Linked DNA regions of Canis lupus familiaris. The protein of the gene in region 1 purifies or fractionates together with the protein of each later gene. This does not show direct contact. Links are inferred from orthologs where the notes say so. Each region holds a gene or a part of one and is shown in the gene's direction. Other genes may lie near its edges.

The links. Proteins that work in one complex are often made in the same cells at the same time.
Region 2: the proteins of MED24 (region 1) and CDK19 purify together in Homo sapiens (affinity purification with mass spectrometry; 6 studies listed by BioGRID and IntAct, counting the BioPlex papers as one, with this or other methods). This does not show direct contact. The link is inferred for Canis lupus familiaris from reciprocal best matches to the Homo sapiens genes MED24 and CDK19.
Region 3: the proteins of MED24 (region 1) and MED9 purify together in Homo sapiens (affinity purification with mass spectrometry; 5 studies listed by BioGRID and IntAct, with this or other methods). This does not show direct contact. The link is inferred for Canis lupus familiaris from reciprocal best matches to the Homo sapiens genes MED24 and MED9.

The regions. Positions count from the first base shown.
Region 1 is NC_049230.1:22,467,492-22,471,332, forward strand, and holds part of MED24 (mediator of RNA polymerase II transcription subunit 24), read left to right. Parts: coding exon 1-46; intron 47-315; coding exon 316-402; intron 403-845; coding exon 846-957; intron 958-1,461; coding exon 1,462-1,604; intron 1,605-2,841; coding exon 2,842-2,879; intron 2,880-3,130; exon of another isoform or gene 3,131-3,234; intron 3,235-3,315; coding exon 3,316-3,398; intron 3,399-3,741; coding exon 3,742-3,841. UniProt on the Homo sapiens protein: Component of the Mediator complex, a coactivator involved in the regulated transcription of nearly all RNA polymerase II-dependent genes.
Region 2 is NC_049233.1:67,739,021-67,743,436, reverse strand, and holds the start of CDK19 (cyclin-dependent kinase 19), read left to right. Parts: upstream 1-1,556; 5' UTR 1,557-1,740; coding exon 1,741-1,868; intron 1,869-2,336; exon of another isoform or gene 2,337-2,505; intron 2,506-4,416.
Region 3 is NC_049226.1:42,192,024-42,196,381, reverse strand, and holds the start of MED9 (mediator of RNA polymerase II transcription subunit 9), read left to right. Parts: upstream 1-1,498; 5' UTR 1,499-1,567; coding exon 1,568-1,794; intron 1,795-4,358.

The DNA.
Region 1 (3,841 bases):
TGCTGAAGCTCACACCCTTGCTGGACAAAGCTGACCAGCGCTGCAAGTACGAACTCCCCTAGCTCACCCCTGCTCTACCTTCTAGAAGGTGTTCTGGCTCTTCCCCAGCTCCTTTGTGCCAGGCCAATCTCAGGGGACTGTCACCTGGTTCGTACCCCTGAGCAGGGGCAGGAGGCCCCAGCCCCGTAGTTGCTGGGTGCCAGAGCCCATCTGCCATCCTGAAGGAGGGAGGAAACGAGGCAGAGGCCTACTGTCCCCATCCCTCAGTCATCCCTGCTGTGTGCCCAGGCCCCTCATGATCTTTTTCCCTCACAGCTGTGACTGTACAAAATTCCTCCTCCAAGAATGTAGCAAGCAGGGGCTTCTGTCCGAAGCCAGTGTGACCAACCTTCTGGCCAAGCGGTAAGCATGAGTTCCCCCCGGCCTGGCTGACGTGCCACTTGCCCCCCTTTCCTCCTGTCCAGGCTGGACTGCTGGGTGCCTCTCCCCTTCCCGTGCAGGTGCCTGGGGCCATGCCTAGGCTTACCAGGAGTGGCAGACACGGGTTTCTGTGCACTAGGCTTCTGCACCCTTGGGTGCTGCACTTGAATTCTCACCCTCTGTGAACACAATAAAAATCCTAAATCTTCCTTTAATCTCAAGTGAACTTTCAGAGTTGAGGTAATGATCAGTGACAAACTGAAGCAGTCACACCAGTGGACATGCATGCATGAACATCACCCCAACCGCAGAGGTTTTTCTATGCTCCCCACCTTCTCTGGGCCTCTGCTTCTGGCGCTGGACCAGGGAGCACATCAGGAACTTCTTTCTTTTCCCTTCTCTTGGCCAATGGCTTATGGCCACAGCGCAGCAGACCGGGAACATGCACCCCAGCTGAAATCAGGAGAAAATGCCAACATCCAGCCCAATCCTGGGCTGATCCTCCGGGCAGAACCCACTGTCACAAATATCCTCAAGGTGAGTATGCCCTTCCCTTGTCTCCAGGGTCATCTCTTCCTGTTTTCCACTTTTGCCTCTGCTTCCAGATAAAGGAAATTGAGGCTGTAGACCTCTTTGTCTTCTGGCTTTTATATGTAGTTACTTTGGAAGTAGAGAAGCAGGCAAGGCAGGGAAGCTGCCAATGAAAACTAGCATTTGTTGGGCACTGCTTGGAAGATAGGCACTGTGGTAGATGCTTCCACCTGCTCCTGCAGAAGCAGTGGGGACTCTCACACACACACACACCCACACCCCTACCGCCATGATCCCAGTTTAGTTGAGAGGAATGGATCAGAGAGCAGATGGATTTGGGGAGTGATTTTCCAGATTGGAGTCAGAAAGATATAGGTTGGATTTCAGGCTGTGGTATGCCACTTGATGGAGACGTGCAGAGCAGGAAGCTCTGGTTGATTAGGCTGTATCTGGTGGTCGTGGGAGGTCTTTGGGTTTTCTTCAGGACTTGATTTCCTGTTGTGTCCCTAGACGATGGATGCAGACCACTCCAAGTCCCCAGAGGGGCTGCTAGGAGTCCTGGGCCACATGCTCTCTGGGAAGAGTCTGGATCTTCTGCTGGCCGCCGCTGCTGCCACTGGGAAGCTTAAATCCTTTGCCCGGAAATTCATCAAGTAAGGAATGGTGAGCCCCTAACCGAGTTGGGAAGGCGTGTCCAAAGGAAGAGGTAGCAGAGTAGGGGCAAGACCCCAGGGTCTAGGTCTCCCTGGAGATGCCTAGGGCAAGCCAGAGCATCCCAGTTGAAGACACTGAGCGAAGGGCCAGGTCTCTGGATGTCAAGTGCTCTTTTCTCTGCTGCTGAGCATGAAGTAGAGGTGTTTGATGAGATGAGAGGCACTAAATGGTGGAGTGAAGGGATTCGGGTGCGCCCAGTTGTTACTAAGGGGCTCTCAAACACTGTTGACTCTTTGGTTGACATGGAATTTGATACATAGAACTTTGTTCCATCCGGTGAGCTGTTCTCTGGGCCTTGGATTTTTTTTTTCTTAAGATTTTTATTTTTAAAGATTTTGTTTGACACAGAGCATGCGTGCACCTGCATAAGCAGGTAGAGGGAGAAGCAGGCTTCCTGTTGAGGGGGTAGCCCAATGCGGGGCTCGATCCTGGGACCATGGGATCATGACCTGCGCTCAAGGCAGATGCTCAACCATTGAACCACCCAGGTGCCCCAAGATTTTTATTTATTTTTATTATTTTTTTTATTTTTAAAGATTTATTTATTCATGAGAAACACACACAGAGAGAGAGGCAGAGACATAGGCAGAGGGAGAAGCAGGCTCCATGCAGGGACCCCAACATGGGACTCGATCCTGGGTCTCCAGGATCACGCCCTGAGCTGAAGACGGCGCTAAACCGCTGAGCCACCGGGCTGCCCAAGATTTTTATTTTTTTTATTTTTTTATTTTTTTTTAATTTTTATTTATTCATGATAGGCACACAGTGAGAGAGAGAGAGGCAGAGACACAGGCAGAGGGAGAAGCAGGCTCCATGCACCGGGAGCCTGACGTGGGATTCGATCCTGGATCTCCAGGATCGCGCCCTGGGCCAAAGGCAGGCGCCAAACCGCTGCGCCACCCAGGGATCCCAAGATTTTTATTTTTAAATGATCTCTACATCTGTTTTGGAACTCAAACTCAAAGCCCTGAGATCAAGAGTTACATGCTCTAATGATCAATCCAGCCAGGCATGCTGCCTTGGAAATCTTTTAAAAACAAAGAGTTCTTTTTGTAGTGGTAGTGTTCATTTTAAGTTTCACCCTTAATTCAGACTTTAGTGACTGCCTTTCTGGACAGGCGTAGCCCCCTGAACCCTTGCCCTGCTTGCTGTGACCTATCTCTGTTCCTCCCCCAGTTTGAATGAATTCACGACACATGGCAATGAAGAACTCGGTAAGTCAGCTCTGTGCCCCCCGGACCCAGCACTGTGGAAGGGTCGGGGGAGAGAACAGGGGAGGACAGAGGGCCCGTTGCTCCTCCTGGGGAGGCTCTTTTCTCCCCTGAGCAATGACTGACTGAAGCTTTTGGGGAGCCTTGAAAGGGGAATGCTGGGCAAAGAATTCTTCCAAAACCACCTCTGTCTATTGCCCTCCCTCTTTATGATTTGGTTGGGTGCTGGGAAGGAGGAGGGTATCAGGAGTCTTGGATTCCAAGGAAGGGATGATGTTCCAATTGAGACTCAAGAAAAGGATTCTGAGCCTCAGAGCTTTGAAGGAGCCACTTGATCACTGACCTTCCTTGAGGCAAATCCTGACCCCCCCCTTCCGATCCAGACGAGGGTTCTGGGCCCTGCTCAAGGCTGTGGAGTCAGGCTTTTTGTTCCCCGTAGCCAAAGCAGCCTCAGTTCGAGCCTTGCTCTTCGACATCTCCTTCCTCATGTTGTGCCACGTGGCCCAGACCTATGGTTCAGAGGTGAGTGAGAGGAGAGCAGTCAAGATTAGGGGCACCAAGTGGGCAGGGAGAGGGGGAAGGAAATGACCAGTAACTTGGCCGCCCCTCCCCACCCCGCAAGCTACTTAGTTCTGCTGGGTGCAGAATGAAGGTGCCCCTGGGCCCATAGACGCCCCCTTTGGTTACTCCGGAATCCTTCAGTGCCACACCCACACCCACCACTAGGTGGCAGCATAGCCCCTGTCTTTCTCCCTGAGACCAGTGCATCTTTAGTTCTTCAGGCTGGAAAGAAGCAGCAGTGGGGCAGGAAACTGAGGCACAGAGCACTGGCTGCTGACCCTCCCTCCCTCCCTTCCTTCCCTAGGTGATTCTGTCCGAGTCAAGCACAGGAGCACAGGTGCCCTTCTTTGAGACGTGGATGCAGACTTGCATGCCCGAAGAGGGCAAAATCCTGAACCCTGACC
Region 2 (4,416 bases), on another chromosome or scaffold:
CCCCCCAGAAGTCTTCCTAGTCTATCATTGCTCTTTGTACCCACACCATTTATTTTTAATTTGCTTGCGTGTTTATTTCTCCAATAGGTTTTAGCTCCCCTGATGGAAAAAGACCAGTTTTCATCTGGTATCTCCAGCACTCACCCTGGTTCCTGGACATAAGAGAAACTAAGATTTTCAGATACGTTTGATTGACTTCAAGATCTGAGAAAGTTCCTTAAGAAATTTACTCTTGTAGTAAATCAATGATCTCCATCCCCCACTCCCAAGTTTTCCAGGTTTCTTCCCAAACCTAGCAGGTGGGCGGGGGGGGGGGGGGGAGGTGTCACTACTAACTTTCCTTACCACTTTAGATAAAGGGGACCAATTCTTCCTTTGTGCTCCCACTAAATGTGGTATATTATTCTTATCCTAGCACCAATCACGCATAAAATCGTATCCCAAGCATCCTAAGGACGCAGGAATTAAATGAATCCATATTCACCTTGATTAAGGACACTTTCTCAGACATCCTTGGAGAACGTCACCATTATGCACAGACCTTAAAAAAAAAAAAAAAACAAACATCTTTTACAATGCAAACCTGATGCCTGCTTTTAAGACGATGCATCCTCCTGGCACTTGAATTGTCCTTAGACAGATGGCCCAAAGCTTGGCTGTGGGAACCGCATATGGTGGGAGGAGACCATGACTCGAGCGCCAGGAAAAGGATGATTGGCTGCCGGGCCTCAGAAGTTCTCCGCAGACCGACGCCAGCCCTAGGAAACCGCTGAGGGTTCAGCTTTTGAAATACGGTTTTTGCATCGTAAAGAAAAAAGATGGACCTATCAGAACAACCGAGCACACCCAATTACCAATCAAGAGCGGGAAAGGAGCCAAAGCCCGGGGATACCCACGCACCGACGAGGACGTCATTCTCTAGTCTCAGCCAATGAGCGGCGGAGGGGGGCGGGGCAACGAGCGGACCAATCGCCACGAAAAACAAACCGTCTTGCAGCACAACTGCTCTAACCACAGTCCTCGCCTCTCTAACCGCCGGCGCAAACTCCTGAGCCGAGCACTTGTTACGTACTTTCCACTCTCCCTCTCGCCCGGGGGCAGTGATAGTGGAGTACCTTCCTCTACACCACAACAAGGGCCTTTTTTCCACCCGCTCCCCCACAGACTCGCAGAAAGAATTCGGCAACTTGAAGCTTCCCACCTTCACAGGAACTGGCAGTCCGGCGCTACCTGAGGGGGAGGGGCGGCCGCAGTGCGCAGGCGTGCCCGCCTCGCGGGGCGGGGCTGTGGCGGCCCAAAGCAGCCTGGGTGTTGTATTTCTTCTGCTGGCGAAACTCGGTTGCTGTTGGGGCCCTCCGGAACTACATTTCCCAGGAGCCCCCGCGACCTCGGGGTGGGCGGGATGGTTCGTTAATGAGCTCGAGGAAGCCGCGGCGCGGCCCACCAGGTTCCAAAACAAGGAAATGAAGGGGGGAGGCGGGACTGGGGCTGCCTGCGGGAGCCGCCGCCGCCGCCGCCGCCGAGGAGGAGGAGGAGGAGGTGGTGGTGGAGGAGGAGGTGGCTGCCGCGGCCGCCGAGGAGTCCCTTGCTGAAGGCGGACCGCGGGGCGGCGGGCGGCGCGCGCGCGCCCGAGAGGCGGCTGTTGGAGAAGTGGAGCGGCGGGCGCGGGGGGAGGAGGAGGAGGAGGGACTGAGCGGCGGCGGCCCCCGCGTCCCGGTGCCTCTATGGGGAAAGCAGACAATGGATTATGATTTCAAGGCGAAGCTGGCGGCGGAGCGGGAGCGGGTGGAGGATTTGTTTGAGTACGAAGGGTGCAAAGTGGGACGCGGCACCTACGGGCACGTCTACAAGGCGAGGCGGAAAGATGGGTAAGAGCAGGGGCGGGGGGAGCGGGCTCGCCCGGGTCCTCGCCCTGCCCGCGACCGCGCGGGGCGGCTGGGTCGGAGCCGGGGCGGGCCGCTCCCGGGGGGCGAGGCGGCGGGGGGCGCGGGGCCGCGCGTCCCGGCGCGGACTGGGGGGCGCGGGCGCTGCCCCCCCACCCTCCACCCTGCACCCTCCGCCCCGCGCGGCCCCGTCGCGCCCCGCGGACTCCCGCGGCGCAGCCCGGTCGGGGGGCGGCGGTCCCGTCCCCGAGGGCGCCCCCCGCGCGCCCCGGGCTGGCGGCGGGGACTCGAGGGGGCACCTCCGCGGAGGTGGAGTTGGCGGGGTCTGCTCTCGGGGGCGGGCGGGGGGCACGCGGGGCGCCGGGAGAGCTTCGTCGAGGAGTTGCCGCTCCGGCCCTGGGCCGGTGACGGTCGTGGCGGAACTTCCAATCGGCTGAGCGCCTCCCCGGGGGCGGCGGTTTGAAACCCAGCCGGGGAGCCGGCGGCGCGGCCGAGCGCTGGGGGCCCGGGCAGCCTCCCGGCTCTGGGCGCAGCCCCTGTCTACACCCGCCGACTTCGGGATCCATCCTCCCCCCGCCGATTCCGCCTTTGCACCTTGTGAATTCCGCGCCTCCCCTCCGAGGTGGGACCTCCCGGGAGACCCGCCGCGCTTTACCGGCGGAACTTCGCCTAGTTCCCTAACTCGTCCCCCCACCCCCCACCCCCCGCGACCTTGGGCATCCTGAGGTCCTCCGCACCCCGACCTGGGGCATCCTGAGGTCCTCCGCACCCCGACCTGGGGCATCCTGAGGTCCTCCCCACCCGGACCTGGGGCATCCTGAGGTCCTCCGCACCCCGACCTGGGGCATCTTGAGGTCCTCCGCACCCCGACCTGGGGCATCCTGAGGTCCTCCCCACCCGGACCTGGGGCATCCTGAGGTCCTCCGCACCCCGACCTGGGGCATCTTGAGGTCCTCCGCACCCCGACCTGGGGGCATCCTGAGGTCCTCCAGACCCGCACCTGGGGCATCCTGAGGTCCTCCACACCCCAATCTGGGGCATCCTGAGGTCCTCCCCTGCGCCCCCCTGGCCGAATGACTGCGCGCTGGGGGCTCCCGAGCACCTGGATGGGCCAGGACGGAAGGCGGGCCTGGATCTCTTGTTCTCCCGGGGAGTTGAGGGCGACCCGTGGTAACACCTCTTAGAAGCGTCCATGGATCGCCGTCTTAGGAGAAGGCGAGCTGGAGAAAGTATTGACAGCGCCTGTCCTTGGTCCTGTAGGGTAGCCGTGCGCGGGCTGCAGGGCCGGAGGCACCAGCTCCCCGCGGCGAGGAGGGTCGGGGTGAACCCTTGGCCTCCCCTCCGCCCACCCTGGCGGGGATCCTCCTCCCCCGGAGCCGGGAGCCCGGGGACGTCTCTCGAGCCCTCCCGCCTAGGTTCCCAAGGCTGTCAGAAACCACTCGGGGGAGAGAGTTTGTAGGCTCGTAACGGGACATCCCTGAGTGAAGGGAGGATCGGCCGCGGCGACGTTAGTGGGACTGGCGGCGCTGCGTCGCGTCCTGCGCACCTGCCTGTTGCCATCGCTGCAGCTGGTGTGGGGGGGCCAGGGCGGAGCAGGCGGGGCCGCGCGCCGGTGCCCGGGGAGCCCGCGGAGCCCGACCCTACACGCCGTTTCGCCCTAGAGCGTCGTGGCCTCACGAGGTGCTGCACACGTGCGGAGAGAGGATTGTGAGCCGCGTTTAGCTTTTGCCTTCTGAACTGGACGAGCCCCATGGCGTTCAGTTGTAGCTTAACTCATGGTTCTTGCAGTTACTTGCCAGGTGTCGTCCTTGAATTAATATCTTGGACTGTGAGGCACTATAATTAACTTGTATTTTGCTTCTGGAATATTAGCTCTGCTTGTTCTCCTGGTGTCCCTGTAAGGAATCTTAGCAGATATACTTGGGGAAGAGCACATCTAGTTTTCCTGGTTGGACACTGGCATTACAAAACAAATCCCACCTTGTGTGTTTTTCATACTCCTCGTGCTTACGTTGTGATACACTTGATCTGGAATTTCTAAGATGTATTTTCATTTTTGTTGTTAAAAATAGCTTCCTTTCAGTAGGTAACTTGTGAGAAAAATTGAGGATTCTGCTTTTGAATTGTATTTTTTGATAGCATGGGCCACAACCAAAAAACAGCTAAATTTAATTCCTGCTTCTCATTGTTCTTTTTTTTTTTTTAATATTTTTCCCCTCTAATAAAGTTCTTGATTCGACTACACTTTTCTTCTTGAGTGAAATTTGTTTGAGCAGAATTAATAAAGTTTCTCGAATAGAATAAGATCAGTTTGTGTATCTTCAAAATACGCTTTTTAAAGAAACTTTTAGGATCTGAAAGCATTAGTTGATATCACTGTATTGGTTATAAGAAAAGTCATTATAAAGGTAGGTTTTCTTGGGTCAAAGGTCTAGTTGAGATTTGAGGTTTTACAGTAAACACATCTCTTGTGGGTTGGTAGGATTAGTTTTATGTTCCGTGATACAAGCGATTTGAAAGAACAAAGTTTTTA
Region 3 (4,358 bases), on another chromosome or scaffold:
CTTTTATTCCATGGCGGTTGTGGTAATTACTATTAATTATTGCACCATCAACATTTCCCCAGGTAGCTCAAAGGGGATAGCCTCTTCAAGCACACCTGGTCTGATCCCAACAGGCCTTTCTCCTCTAGGAAAGTTCTCTACCAGGACTCCTAAAACTCTTCCCTAAAGTGGATAAGTCCATGGGTAGCAATAAGAAAGCCCTGCAGACTCTCCTTCTCCCTGCTTTCCCCCCTGGGGGTACTCTAGGCAGTTCTTGCTGAAGAAAGCTGTGCTAAGGCCCATCACTAAAGAGCCTTTAGTGCTCCAAAGAGTTGGAGCACACTCTCCAACTCCTATTTCCTTCTACAGTCTGCCTTCCCTAGGGTCTGCCTCCATCAACCTTTCCTGATGCATCTGAAAATAGTAGCGTCAATGCTTTCCCTGGAATCAGCCCCCTTGCTCTTAAGTGCTCCAGCTCATCTTGCCACCTGAATATGGGCCTCCTTGCCTCTCTTTAAGACCCTTGATGGTAGACTTTGAAAGGTTGGGGCTTTCCTAGCTCATGTCCTCTCCCACTGACTAGCTGAGCTTAGGATGGGTGTCCCATTGCCCAGAAATCTATTATACAGCCCCCATATCACACTTGTTTTGAGAAATATAATTACATCACCACCATGTTTTTGACCTAGGATCCTGGGGACAAACCAGACCTTTGGAGGTCAGCCATGTACCTGAAGTTAGAAAACAATTTAGGCTTTGCTATGACCCTGGAGTAAGCATTTTACAGTTAAGGAAACAGACCTAGGAGCTCAAGGAACTGGCCTGCCCGTATGGAGAATACCCGAGGTGGACTTTCCTGTAGGATGCATTTATTCTTGGCACTAGTCAATCCCCTTCTGCCTTGTTTTGAAGTCAGGACAGCCTTCCTACCCACTACTTCACATTTAATACTGCATCTGCCATCCAGAAAATGCAATGTTGAATTATGAGTTCCTCCCTATCTAGGCTTGGGGAGCTTTTAGAGACTCACTTTACTTTGTCTCTGCCCCTTTGGGCTAACACAGTCTCACACTTCAGCTGGGTCAGGGTTTGCTGCCTGTCCTCCTGGAGGCATCTGCGAGGTGTAGGAGGTGTAGGCCCTCCATCTCTGGATTCTCAATGCCCGTAGGGCCCAATGCTTTACACAAAGCAGGAAGTTGTTTACTCTGCATGTGGTTCAAGGTGGTCGGGAGGCCTTCTCCGAGGGCGGGGCCCTGCGGAGTCATGCATCTCAGCTTTCCTGTACTAGTTGCTTTTGGACCCTTTTTGTCGTGTGAATAAGAATGTTATGTCTCAAATGGATCTGTTTCTGACTATTTAATAATCTAGCTGCCTCTACTTACAACCAAATCCGTCAATCGCCCGTTGCCTAGTAACATCAGCCACGCCCCCAGGATATTGCCCCGCCCACACCCTAGTACGCACGCGCACAACCTTTTTCCAGGGCCCGCCCACCGCGGGCGCAGAGCGGTGACGTCTGAGGTCCGCGACGCTTTTGAGAAGCTGACCGTTGGGGTCCTGCTGCCCGAGCGGCGCGGTTCCGAGCGCTATGGCCTCCGCCGGGGTGGCCGCCGGGCGACAGGCCGAGGATGCGTTACCGCCGCCGGCCGAGCCGTCGCTGCCCGAGACGAAGCCGCTGCCGCCTTCGCAGCCGCCGCCTCCGGTCGCCGTGCCTCAGCCGCAGCAGTCGCCGGCAACCAGGCCCCAGTCACCGGCCGGCGTGAAGGAGGAGGAGAATTACTCCTTTTTACCTTTGGTTCACAACATCATCAAATGGTAAGAGCCCAAGAGAGGACCAGCCACGACACGCCCTCCCGCTTCTCGTCTCGTGTTTCCGAGCGGCAAAGGCCTAGGTGCTCTCGGGCACAGCCCCATTTTACCGCTGGGGAAACAGAGCCAGGGGCAGGAGGCCTTTCCCACGACCACACCTGGTCACAGCGTCAGTTCGGCAAACGTTTGAACCCTGAGAGAGTTGCCAGACCTCACGATGGCCAGGCGATAGTCTTAAAAATGAAGGCTCTGCAGTCAGACGACTCAAGTTTGCATCTTAGTGACCTGGAGCAAGTCAAGCGTCTCTGAGCCTCGGTTTTCGCACCTGTAATAGAGGAGTAACACTTGGGTGTTGTCTTTTCAACACATCCAGCAGATATGGATCATCTTCCTTGTGTGGCACACTGCTAAGTCCGTGGAATGTACACAGTAAAGAGGGCCAACTTCTCCTCCCCCCTCCCCCAACATTGCTTATCAGTTTGAAGGAAAAAAAGACAGGGATGGAAATGACCCCTATTTCAGAGAGTTTGGAGGGTTGATGATAGTGAACTTAGAAGAAACAAAGATAGAAGTTGGCCCTGTAGGACTGTTCTTACATCGTGCCAAAAAGGGTGATTTTCATTTTTTTTTTTCCCAAGATTGATTTATTCATTTTAGAGAGCTTGAGCACAAGCGTTGGTGGAGCAGAGGGAGAGAGAATCTCATGCCCACTCCCTGCTGAGCAGGCAGGGCTGGATCCCTCCACCCTGAGATCATGACCTGAGCGGAAATCAAGAGTCCCACACTCAGCCAGCTGAGCTCCCCAGGCTGGCCGACTTGTCTTTCTTTTGGCCAGTCTTTAGATTATAGCCTGAATTTTCAAACTGACTCTGTAAAAGAAAAAAAGTAGTGCAGCCAAAAGGCTCCGTGATCCCCATGCTTTCCTAAATTATTTCTGCTGATACCTTATTTATATCCACATGATACAAGGGTAAACCAGGCTCATAACTTATTCAGCCATTAAAAACCAAAACAAAGTAAATGAAAGCAAAGTCACTGTTACTGTGACATTCAAGTGAGCATTAATGCGCTCTTGGGTGTCTTGCTGAAATGGACTTGCTACCTACAACATGAAAGTCTTGTTTGTTACTGGCCTAGCTTTTGAGCTTAGCCGGACTAGATTCACTTGCTGTGGGATGACCTCATGCTTCCACCCCTTTTTAAACAGCTGGAAAGCCTTTGTTCTCACATTAGACCCTGCCTTCATTTGGCTTCACTTGGTGTGAACATACCGTTTATAGGGTAAAACAGACTCTGTTCTGTTCTCATTAGCCTGTGATCATCAAGTGGCACTTCTAGGGAGCAGTGCGATGGCAAAAAAAAAAAAAAAAAAAAAAAAAAAAATCACACATGGAGACCCCCAAATCTCAGGGCAATGCTGGATTATAAGTGGGCCTTGTAATCTTATTAAAACATAACCTTTCTAGGCCTTATTTTCTTATCTCTCATACGTGAATAATAACAGTGGACCTGAAACATTTAAATTACAGCTTTATTGTGTAGGGCCTAGGTCATCTTGGTCAAATGACTTAGCTTCTCTGAGTCTCTTTGGCGAAATGGAATAACAGTACTTAAATTTTAAGATTGCTGTAAGGTATACTCAAGAGCAGCCTTCTGTGAAAGATGGCAGGTTGATCACATGTGTTTATCTCTATACTCTCTGAAAGGACAGTGAGGAGTGTTTTGTTTTTTTTTTAAGCATAAAACCAAAAAGAACAGCTGTTGTCACAAAGCAGATGGCTAAAGGCTAATCCATCTATGAGCCCTCAGAACCATCCAGACACAGCTGCCTTTGACCATGGCTTCTCCCCAAAGCTCAGGAATTGGCAGTGTCAGGGACTCCTGGAAATAGAGGTGAAAGTGAGACTAGAACAGGAGGATTACTTAAAGTCTGTGTAAGAATCAGATCCCATAGCCTTCTTCCCCACTCTAAGCAGATGGGGACTGCCCATCTTCCATCTTGGCAGACCAAGGATTACTCTCCCCCCAAAATTTATTTTTAAAAATAAGCCAGAGTGTCTCTGGACTGGGGAACACCAGGCACATGGCAGGAGTTGGAGAAAGGGAGCCATACTGAAAAGAGGGATTAAGAGAAACTTCACAAACTTAATACTGAGACCCAAACCTAGTCTTGGGTTGGCTTTTAGACTGGCAGCCAAAGAGACAGAGATACCTTCTCTGGGGTATCTCATCAGCCCAAAAGAAAGACTGGGAGCTCTCCAAGGAAGAACTTAGTTCATTTTAAGAAAGTGAAGAAGTATCACTAAGAGTTTCCACTAAGTCAGGGCACCTGGATGGCTCAGTTGGTTAAGTGTCTGACTCTTGGTTTCAGCTCAGGTCATGATCTCAGGCTTGTGAGATTGGGCTCCACAACTCAGCACGGAGTCTGCTTGGGATTTTCTCTCCCTCTCCCTCTGGCCGTGCCCTCACTCTCATTTTCTCTCAAATGAATAATAAAATCTTTAAAAAAAAAAAAAAAGAGTTTCCATTAAGCTTTTTAGTGTTTTATTCTTTTTTTTTCAATATTCTCC